3 linked regions of the Saccharomyces cerevisiae S288C genome follow. Changing the gene in region 1 together with any one later gene gives a genetic interaction. Each region holds a gene or a part of one and is shown on either strand. Other genes may lie near its edges.

Region 1 (3,758 bases):
TATCGTCGAGATGTTGTTCTCCACCTCGTTACTAGCCCTCGTTGGGATAGGCGATCAACCTGCGCTTTCACCAAGGAGATTGCGTATAATCAACACAAAAAAACATTCTATTATCTGTGAGGTGACTTTCCCTACTTCTATTCTGAGTGTGAAAATGAATAAGTCTCGATTGGTGGTACTTTTACAAGAGCAGATTTATATTTATGATATCAACACCATGAGACTATTGCATACTATAGAAACAAACCCTAACCCACGTGGCCTTATGGCTATGTCTCCTTCGGTAGCCAACAGCTATTTAGTGTATCCATCACCACCAAAAGTTATTAACTCCGAAATTAAAGCTCATGCCACCACAAACAATATCACATTGTCAGTTGGTGGCAACACAGAGACCAGTTTCAAGAGAGATCAGCAAGATGCTGGCCATAGTGACATTAGCGACTTGGATCAGTATTCGAGCTTTACTAAGAGGGATGATGCGGATCCAACAAGCAGTAACGGCGGTAACAGCAGTATAATAAAGAATGGTGATGTGATCGTATTCAACTTGGAAACATTACAGCCAACCATGGTCATCGAAGCTCATAAGGGCGAGATTGCTGCAATGGCAATTAGTTTTGATGGGACACTAATGGCTACCGCCTCTGATAAAGGTACTATCATCAGGGTCTTTGACATTGAAACGGGTGATAAGATCTACCAATTCAGGAGAGGGACGTACGCGACAAGAATTTACTCCATATCATTCAGTGAAGATAGCCAGTACTTGGCGGTTACCGGCTCTTCCAAAACCGTGCATATCTTCAAATTGGGGCATTCAATGAGCAACAATAAACTAGACAGCGATGATAGCAACATGGAAGAAGCTGCAGCCGATGATTCATCGCTCGATACCACCAGTATCGATGCGCTGAGTGACGAGGAAAACCCGACAAGACTCGCAAGAGAACCATATGTGGATGCATCAAGAAAGACAATGGGTAGGATGATACGTTACTCTTCTCAAAAGCTATCCCGAAGAGCTGCCAGAACATTGGGTCAGATTTTCCCCATCAAAGTTACATCGTTGTTGGAATCCTCGCGCCATTTTGCGTCTTTGAAACTTCCCGTTGAAACCAATTCCCATGTAATGACCATATCAAGTATAGGCTCTCCAATAGATATAGACACATCCGAGTATCCGGAACTCTTCGAAACTGGCAATTCCGCAAGTACAGAGTCCTACCATGAGCCTGTTATGAAGATGGTCCCCATCAGGGTCGTTTCCTCGGATGGATACCTATACAACTTTGTTATGGACCCGGAGAGAGGCGGCGATTGCTTAATATTGTCACAGTATTCCATCTTGATGGATTGATCACGGAAGTGTCTCGCGCTGCCTTCCGTACGTCACAACGCATACACAATATAGTTTATATAAACTCCTGCGTATAATCTATCCTTTTGCATAATATTTTCGTCACCATTATCTTGTTGCGGTGTTTTTATTTAAAACAATAGAACTCGCCTAAAGGGGAAATTTTCGATATAAAAATTCAAAAAAATGGCTTTCATGGATCGAGTATTTGTTTGTCGAAAAAGGATCACTGGAGTGACGTTACTACGCTACGAAGCCTCCTTCCGGCTTAGCCCTGTTGATTACGAATTTGGATCAGTTGGTATTTGATTCCTCGGAAGAGTTAACTTCACGCGGGTAAATCACTTGTGATGCGGTATATTCTCTATACGGCTAATAGATGAATCAGGGTGTTTTAAAGTGCGTATAAACCCTTTTGCTATTTTCGTTTATATAATTGGCGTTGATAAAGAGCCAATATCTATTGTTGCTACATAGAGGCAGCTCTCTTAGCAAAATAAAAATACAAAAAGTTCGACATGGGCTTCAGTAGCGGTAAATCAACTAAGAAAAAGCCTCTGCTTTTCGATATCAGACTTAAAAATGTTGACAACGATGTAATACTCCTCAAAGGTCCTCCAAACGAGGCCCCCTCGGTGCTTTTATCTGGTTGCATCGTTTTATCGATTAACGAACCCATGCAGATCAAAAGCATATCATTGAGACTTTATGGGAAGATACAAATAGACGTACCATTAGAGAGGCCCCAGGACGCTAGTTCTTCGTCGTTGTCTTCATCGCCGCCAAAGATCAGAAAGTACAACAAAGTTTTTTATAATTACGCATGGGATAATGTTAACCTCAAGGAGTATCTGAGTGGTTTAAGAGGGCAATCTGGCCTTGCGGGCAGTAGCTCATCAAGTAATATCTTGGGCACTCGCCAAAGAGCTCAGTCCACAAGTTCCTTGAAGTCTTTAAAGGGGTCCTCCTCACCCTCTTCATGTACTTTAGATAAGGGCAACTACGATTTTCCCTTTAGTGCTATTTTGCCTGGTTCGTTACCAGAGAGCGTAGAATCTTTGCCAAATTGCTTCGTGACATATAGCATGGAATCCGTTATTGAACGCAGCAAAAATTATAGTGATTTGATCTGTAGGAAAAATATTAGAGTTCTGAGAACCATTTCACCCGCAGCAGTGGAGTTATCAGAAACTGTTTGTGTAGATAACTCATGGCCCGACAAAGTGGATTATTCTATTTCAGTACCCAACAAAGCCGTAGCTATTGGTTCAGCCACCCCTATAAATATTTCCATTGTACCTCTTTCGAAAGGTTTGAAATTGGGCTCAATCAAAGTCGTATTATTTGAGAATTATCAATATTGTGACCCCTTCCCTCCAGTAATTTCTGAAAATAGGCAAGTGACAGAACTAAATCTTGAAGATCCCTTGAACGAGTCATCTGGAGAATTTAATGGTAATGGTTGCTTTGTAAATAACCCCTTTTTTCAGCCTGATCATTCATTCCAAGACAAGTGGGAGATTGATACCATCCTGCAAATCCCGAACAGCTTATCAAACTGTGTGCAAGATTGTGATGTCCGCTCTAACATTAAGGTTCGCCATAAGCTCAAATTTTTCATCATCCTAATTAACCCAGATGGTCATAAATCTGAGTTAAGAGCGTCCTTACCGATTCAACTTTTTATTTCACCATTTGTGGCACTTTCAATAAAACCATTGTCATCCTCGAATTTGTATTCGCTTTTTAGCACCACTAACCAGAAAGACGAAAACTCATCACAAGAAGAGGAAGAGGAATATCTGTTTTCTAGATCAGCATCAGTCACAGGGTTGGAATTATTAGCGGATATGCGTAGCGGTGGCTCTGTTCCTACCATTTCAGACTTGATGACGCCCCCAAATTATGAAATGCACGTATATGATCGTCTTTATAGCGGTTCTTTCACTCGCACGGCTGTGGAAACGTCTGGAACATGTACTCCTTTGGGAAGCGAATGTTCGACTGTCGAGGATCAGCAACAGGATTTAGAAGATTTACGTATACGGTTGACAAAAATTAGAAATCAACGTGACAATCTAGGGCTACCACCGTCTGCCTCGTCTGCTGCCGCTTCCAGATCGCTATCTCCATTACTAAACGTTCCAGCACCAGAGGATGGCACGGAGAGAATCTTACCTCAGAGTGCTCTTGGTCCCAATAGTGGCTCTGTGCCAGGAGTACATAGTAACGTATCACCTGTTTTACTTTCAAGATCCCCAGCCCCAAGCGTGTCAGCCCATGAAGTGTTACCAGTGCCCTCGGGCTTAAATTATCCAGAGACTCAAAACCTGAACAAGGTTCCATCGTATGGCAAGGCAATGAAATATGATATCATTGGTGAGGACCTTCCTCCTTC
Region 2 (3,758 bases), 110 kb from region 1:
AATGTCCCTAATCGGATCCACCCAGATGTGACTAACGTGGTGCAAATTTATATTTATATGTGATAAGTCTTTCAACTTTGTGGAGATCATGTAACGTAGATTGAGTACTAAACTCAACGACCTTGTAGTCCGTAATTGGTACAGGATAGCTACAATCCCGATAAGTAAAGAAATTTTGCTCCACCTGTTATATTTGGAGGGTAAAAAATGGCCAAGTCTTTGGACCAACGCCCTTGTCTTGGATCTGGCGGCGACACCATGATACTTTTCTTCCTTGTAATGCTCGTTCATCTTTGTTTGTTCGCTCAAATAGAAGATAATGGTGCTCATATCGAAGCATCCTGGCTTTCCACATGCTGTATTGAGTAATGCACTATATTTATTAAGACTCACCCGTTTCAAAGCCTTCTTGCTGGCAGTAGTCGCATCTTTTCTAGTTATTTGCAAGACTTCTTCCCAAAGCGCCTCATCATACAGTTTTTTCTGTAAAACTGTTTGTATAGCACCATGGCGCAGGTCAAAATCGTTCTCGAAGAAATCAGAATTAGCTTCTATTTGCTTCGAAATTTCAGACGCATTTTGCAATAGCAGGTTCTTGTATATGATCAAAGGTAAACGCATAGATTGCATCGATATTGTCATGTCAAATATCTGGAAAAGAATTTTATGAAGATTGTTGTCACCGCTATCTATAGGTTTCAAATTATGTGCAAAGATTGTCAATATTGACCCAATAGCGAAAAGGGGCTCATTTTCGTCAAATTTGAATAGATTATAGAATTTCATGTTTGATTCCTTTATCAATGAAGAGATTACTCTCAATTGCTCAAATGAAAAATCTAGTGAGTTCATCATGAAATCCCTCAGATATAATAGGGTAAATGCTTCGATGCAATAAAACAGCCTTTCCATATCAATTTCTTCTTGCAATGAGAGATTTTCTAGTTCCAGTCCGTTCTCTTTTGTGACATTCCAACTAAAACACATGATGAAAACAGACACAATATCATGATAACCTTGGTAATAGTTCAACGTTGGGTACTTTCTCAATACCCGAGTAATTAACTCCACCAGTAGTTTTCTCAATTGCAGTTTCAAGTTTTTGTCGACAATTCCACCAAAAGACCTTTCTGCATCCAATATCACCTGACCTTCATCTTTATGTTTTTCCACTGGTGTAATGTACTCTGTTGCATCATCAATAAGCAACTGGGACGCCAATAATTCATACCAACAATCTTTTCTTAATGAGTTGTTTACAAACCCCAGAGGCCCTAAACCTATGTACCTCAAAGCTCGGACATCTTTTTTCTCTAATAACTTTGATATAACTTTTCCTTTTTGTTCTTCTGCCTTTCCACTGTCACAACGAGAAAGTGATTCCAGATATGCGTTATAACCTCCCCTTGTCAACGCGTCTTTGTCGTGGCTACTCTGATTAGTATGAAATAATGACCTTAATGGCATCGTATTTTGTTAATTGGCTTGTTCTATGTCATTTGCTAAATTTTCTCTTTATTTCTTTACTTTGCCAATTCAAGATAATCTTCCCTTCCCAGAGAGAAAAAAGGAAAAATTTAGCTATGAAACCTCAATAAGCTTTTTAATACACCAAAGATTCAAGATAAGAGCATAGAACGAACTGTAGAATAGTCCGGATATGTTATCCAATGCCTGCCAAAATGCATTGTCACACGCTGTAGTGCTCGAATAGGTGTTGCAATCCGTCAATATACGTCTTGCTCTGTGGGTAAATGTCTCGTGCATTAAGACAGGCTAGTATAAACGAGAAGAAGTATCCTGCTTTGCAATGAAACAATAGTATCCGCTAAGAATTTAAGCAGGCCAACGTCCATACTGCTTAGGACCTGTGCCTGGCAAGTCGCAGATTGAAGTTTTTTCAACCATGTAAATTTCCTAATTGGGTAAGTACATGATGAAACACATATGAAGAAAAAAGCTTTCCTACATATTCAAGATTTTTTTCTGTGGGTGGAATACTATTTAAGGAGTGCTATTAGTATCTTATTTGACTTCAAAGCAATACGATACCTTTTCTTTTCACCTGCTCTGGCTATAATTATAATTGGTTACTTAAAAATGCACCGTTAAGAACCATATCCAAGAATCAAAAATGTCTGATGCGGCTCCTTCATTGAGCAATCTATTTTATGATCCAACGTATAATCCTGGTCAAAGCACCATTAACTACACTTCCATATATGGGAATGGATCTACCATCACTTTCGATGAGTTGCAAGGTTTAGTTAACAGTACTGTTACTCAGGCCATTATGTTTGGTGTCAGATGTGGTGCAGCTGCTTTGACTTTGATTGTCATGTGGATGACATCGAGAAGCAGAAAAACGCCGATTTTCATTATCAACCAAGTTTCATTGTTTTTAATCATTTTGCATTCTGCACTCTATTTTAAATATTTACTGTCTAATTACTCTTCAGTGACTTACGCTCTCACCGGATTTCCTCAGTTCATCAGTAGAGGTGACGTTCATGTTTATGGTGCTACAAATATAATTCAAGTCCTTCTTGTGGCTTCTATTGAGACTTCACTGGTGTTTCAGATAAAAGTTATTTTCACAGGCGACAACTTCAAAAGGATAGGTTTGATGCTGACGTCGATATCTTTCACTTTAGGGATTGCTACAGTTACCATGTATTTTGTAAGCGCTGTTAAAGGTATGATTGTGACTTATAATGATGTTAGTGCCACCCAAGATAAATACTTCAATGCATCCACAATTTTACTTGCATCCTCAATAAACTTTATGTCATTTGTCCTGGTAGTTAAATTGATTTTAGCTATTAGATCAAGAAGATTCCTTGGTCTCAAGCAGTTCGATAGTTTCCATATTTTACTCATAATGTCATGTCAATCTTTGTTGGTTCCATCGATAATATTCATCCTCGCATACAGTTTGAAACCAAACCAGGGAACAGATGTCTTGACTACTGTTGCAACATTACTTGCTGTATTGTCTTTACCATTATCATCAATGTGGGCCACGGCTGCTAATAATGCATCCAAAACAAACACAATTACTTCAGACTTTACAACATCCACAGATAGGTTTTATCCAGGCACGCTGTCTAGCTTTCAAACTGATAGTATCAACAACGATGCTAAAAGCAGTCTCAGAAGTAGATTATATGACCTATATCCTAGAAGGAAGGAAACAACATCGGATAAACATTCGGAAAGAACTTTTGTTTCTGAGACTGCAGATGATATAGAGAAAAATCAGTTTTATCAGTTGCCCACACCTACGAGTTCAAAAAATACTAGGATAGGACCGTTTGCTGATGCAAGTTACAAAGAGGGAGAAGTTGAACCCGTCGACATGTACACTCCCGATACGGCAGCTGATGAGGAAGCCAGAAAGTTCTGGACTGAAGATAATAATAATTTATGATCAAAATTTACGGCTTTGAAAAAGTAATTTCGTGACCTTCGGTATAAGGTTACTACTAGATTCAGGTGCTCATCAGATGCACCACATTCTCTATAAAAAAAAATGGTATCTTTCTTATTTGATAATATTTAAACTCCTTTACATAATAAACATCTCGTAAGTAGTGGTAGAAACCACCTTTGCTTTTACGAGTTCAAGCTTTTTTCTTGCCATGATCTAGAACTCTCAGGCAATATATACAGTTAATCTTTTTTTACTGGGTTGTAGTTCTAATGTATTGTTTCGAAAAATAGCAACCAGGCACATATTATGTTCACCAAGTGGTGTA
Region 3 (3,758 bases), on another chromosome or scaffold:
TTGGAAAGAAATCATCGGCACTACGCCCTACAAAACGATAGTAACAATAAGCAGGGACAGTTCAGCAAAAACAAATACTTTATTCCAGATGATTTGTTTATCCCCGGATACTTTCGTAAATTTTTCAAAATATTGTCTTTGCTGGGAAATGGTGCAAGAGGTTCTGTTTACAAAGTTGTACACACAATTGGTAATACTGAATTAGGTGTTTTTGCACTAAAAAAAATACCTATTGGAAATGATATGGAATGGTTTAATAAGTGCATACGGGAAGTGAAAGCGTTGAGTTCGCTAACTCACAAAAGTGCCAATTTGATTACGTATAATCATGTGTGGCTCGAAATGGATTCTTCGGTTGGATTTGTCAGATCCATTGATGGGAGCCAATCGGATTCACAAGAAGAAGTTCCTTGTATTTTCATTTTACAACAGTATTGCAGTGGCGGCAATTTAGAAGACTGTATTCTAAGAAAAGTGTTCAATAGGTTCTCAGATACCGAATCACCTGAAGAGAGGAAAAAAAAATTTAGAACTCGCAAGAAAAATCACGGTAAATCAGGAGAAGTTGGCCTATCTACGGAACAGCTCGTATCCATTATAAGGGATATTGCAAGAGGTTTACACGAACTGCACAGTATTGGCCTAATACATAGGGACTTGAAACCATCCAACTGTTTATTATTGACTCCATTTAAAAGTGACAATGAGAATGACAACGTATACGACAGGGAACACAATTCAGATGAGTTTTTCCCATCAATTGTTATTGGCGATTTGGGGGAAAGTCAGTTGGAAGGAGAGTCCAGATTGGGTACTGGTTGCACAGGAACATTAGAGTTTACAGCACCAGACCTTATTATCCAGGGGAGACCAGTTTCTTCTTCTACGTTGCCTTCAAGATCGAGTCACACATACAATGAATACACCTTTGCTTCCGATATGTATTCTCTAGGAATGATTTGCTATTTTATTGTCTTCGGTGAATTGCCCTTTGAACCACAGTTGGATATAGTTGATTTGAAGGTACGCATCAAAAATTTTAGGTTCGACACTGAAGGTATGATTGAAAAGCATCAAGCGATGAAATTGAAACCAATAGACCGTAGAATATTTCACCTAATGGACGCTCTTTTACAACCAAATAATGATGCTAGACCCACAGCGAAGACAGTGGAGGAGACGTTAGATGAAATGCTAATAAATTCCAAACCCGGCAAAAAATTCTGGAAAGAAAATGTGGATAGCACTTTGAACTTCAGTACAATCTCGGAAGTGAATGAGAATACCAACAGTTTTACTGATGATTATATTGACGGAGACAACGTTACTTTATCATTACCAGCACCAGAGGAAAATTTGAGCACCGTATCAACCCAAAACCTCCAAAAGTATTCTGCTTTAAATAGAACAATCCAGGTTTGTTACAAACTAGTTTCTATGATATTAACGATAATCATATTTAAGTGTACCAAAACGGGGTCGTGGCTCTCTTATATGTCACTGATATTGTTGGGAATGGTTTTTAAATCACCAGCTGATGAAAGAGGTAAGCATGCAAGAGCGTTGGTTTTACTGGCCTTCATCGCCGCATGCAAAAAATACATATACTAACAATAAGTACACATTGCAAACTAAATAGCACGTAATTTATTTTTACTTTACAAATTTATAGAAAATATTCTCGCTTATCACCAATGTTCACGAATCATCTTCACCTCTTCTAAGGGCCGGTGACAAAGGTGCATAATGTTAGAAAAATTGACCGATGAGTAAATTTATAGAGGGAATAACCAAATGAAAAGATCTAGGTGACAGAAACGCCAATTGACCTCTGTAGAAATAAAGTTCTTTCATTATGACAGCAGAAGATATACTCCTTCGAGAAAGAACATCTACTACGACACAACGCCCTGTCAATAGCGAACAATACCTTAATGTGCAATTAGCCACAGCCCCAGTAAAAAATTTTCAGACTACAAGCGAGATTAGCCGGCAAACTCTTGTAGACACATCAAATGATGACGTTTATTCCATCAAGAATTTGAAGGGCTCGAGGAACCCCATTAGCCCTAGTGTTTCTAACGTTGGCTTCCAATCCATATTCCATACAGTAGATCATCCTCGATCGAAGGTCAGTGTGGCCTCAAATCATTCCTTGAGGAGCAATGACAATGCCTCAGCTGCAACATCTAAATCTGGTTCTTCTCAGATAGGGGAATCTCATAGCGTTGACACGGTGGAGTGCTCGAACAATCTATCTAAAAAGTTATCTTCTGATGCAATATCCATTACTCAGAAAAGTTTACACTCCACGCCCTCCGGCAGGTATATGAAAGGAAAGGCTTCTGGCTTTTTTAATAGGAGAAACAGAGCACATACGACCATTTCATCGGATCCTGCCTCCTTTTTGACAGATTCAAGCACCTTACATAATAGTTCACATTCATTTCGAAACGTGATTAAGAACTTTTTCCAAAATAAAAGCCACAGGCACATTGGTCAAGATGCTATCGAGCCTGCAATTCCAAATTCCTTGAGTAAATTTCTGCATTCCTCTTACGGAAGACATAAATCTCCGTCACAATTTATTCATACTAATGCGGGGCAACTTGTGGACTCAGGAACTTCTGTGTACTCATTGAATGTTAATCCATCTGGTGTCAATCCCAACACAATCGTTGAGGATCCGCTTTCTGGAACTGATCCTGCCTCACCGAATCCGGTCTCAATGTTACACGACCTTTTAAGAAATTTACCATCTCTGGAAGCTAACTATAAACACTTCAACTCCCAAGAACTGACAACCCTAACAAATAATATTTGGAATATATTTTGTAGTAACGTAGCAGAATTATTCAGAACTCAAAGAATATGGAAACTCAGGGCCAAAATAGAAAATTTTAACGAAGTTTTAGAATTCTATTGCATTTTAAAAACAGATCCAAGAGTCACACATAGCGGCATGAATAGAATTATCAGCGATTTGAAAGAATTTTTGGTTAGTTCCCTATACAATTTAGAAAACCAAATTGTTTTTAACTATTCTAATGAAGACACAATAAATAACGCATTGAAAAGATTAGGCGTTATATGGCGGATATTTTATCAAGAGGTATATTATGATTTAGCCGCTGTGTTATTACCGTTGGATCAGAGTATCAGAGAAGATGGTAATTCTACGGTTTTAAAGTCAGGCAATGAAAGTCGGACTCACATTAATGGTAATTATTCTATTGGGTTTCTTTTGCTTATGTGCTTTAGAGATTCAATAGTCTTACCTTGTTATGAAAACTTCGTAAATAGTAACGATGGTATCAGCAAAAGTTTTCAACTTTACATTTTCAATCAAGAAGAAGAAAGTAATGTCACAGAAACAGATAAATTGACATTACTGCAGTGTTTTGGCATATTGAGTACCATTCAAAGTAATGATAGAAATCAACGAATTATCGAAGAGTTATTAGCAGGCATTAGAATGAGTATATAGAAAGCATCTAACACTTTATTTCAATCTCCTATTTAATATCACAACAAAACTTTATTCCATCCTACACCAAGGTCTGTCATCGGCAATTTGATGCCTACAAAGTTTGGGTTCTAGCCCCAAACCAAGTAACGCAGCCAAAAAAACGCCAAAGGAATCAGCGATGGACACAGCACCCATGGCGAACTCTGTTTCATCAGGATCCTCTTGTTCGAGAATATTTAAGAATGTGTTAACATATGACGCACCACCAAGAAAACCCTCATAGAATATT

Evidence for each region.
Region 2: of ROG3 (region 1) and STE2, changing one enhances a phenotype caused by changing the other (phenotypic enhancement), as found in Saccharomyces cerevisiae (one study listed by BioGRID).
Region 3: mutations in ROG3 (region 1) and BIT61 together harm fitness more than expected from each alone (negative genetic interaction), as found in Saccharomyces cerevisiae (2 studies listed by BioGRID).

Annotation. Positions count from the first base shown.
Region 1 is NC_001138.5:194,955-198,712, forward strand, and holds the start of ROG3 (Rog3p), read left to right. Parts: upstream 1-1,878; coding exon 1,879-3,758. Other genes in the region: phosphoinositide binding protein ATG18, read left to right, coding at 1-1,360. UniProt on the Saccharomyces cerevisiae protein: Involved in resistance to GST substrate o-dinitrobenzene (o-DNB).
Region 2 is NC_001138.5:80,446-84,203, forward strand, and holds STE2 (alpha-factor pheromone receptor STE2), read left to right. Parts: upstream 1-2,134; coding exon 2,135-3,430; downstream 3,431-3,758. Other genes in the region: GTPase-activating protein GYP8, read right to left, coding at 1-1,467; BST1 (Bst1p), read right to left, coding at 3,700-3,758. UniProt on the Saccharomyces cerevisiae protein: Fungal class D1 G-protein-coupled receptor that acts as an alpha-factor pheromone receptor performing pheromone-dependent signal transduction involved in cellular conjugation, mating projection assembly, and in cell fusion.
Region 3 is NC_001142.9:325,971-329,728, reverse strand, and holds BIT61 (Bit61p), read left to right. Parts: upstream 1-1,855; coding exon 1,856-3,487; downstream 3,488-3,758. Other genes in the region: protein kinase IKS1, read left to right, coding at 1-1,611; amino acid transporter YHC3, read right to left, coding at 3,539-3,758. UniProt on the Saccharomyces cerevisiae protein: Component of TORC2, which regulates cell cycle-dependent polarization of the actin-cytoskeleton and cell wall integrity.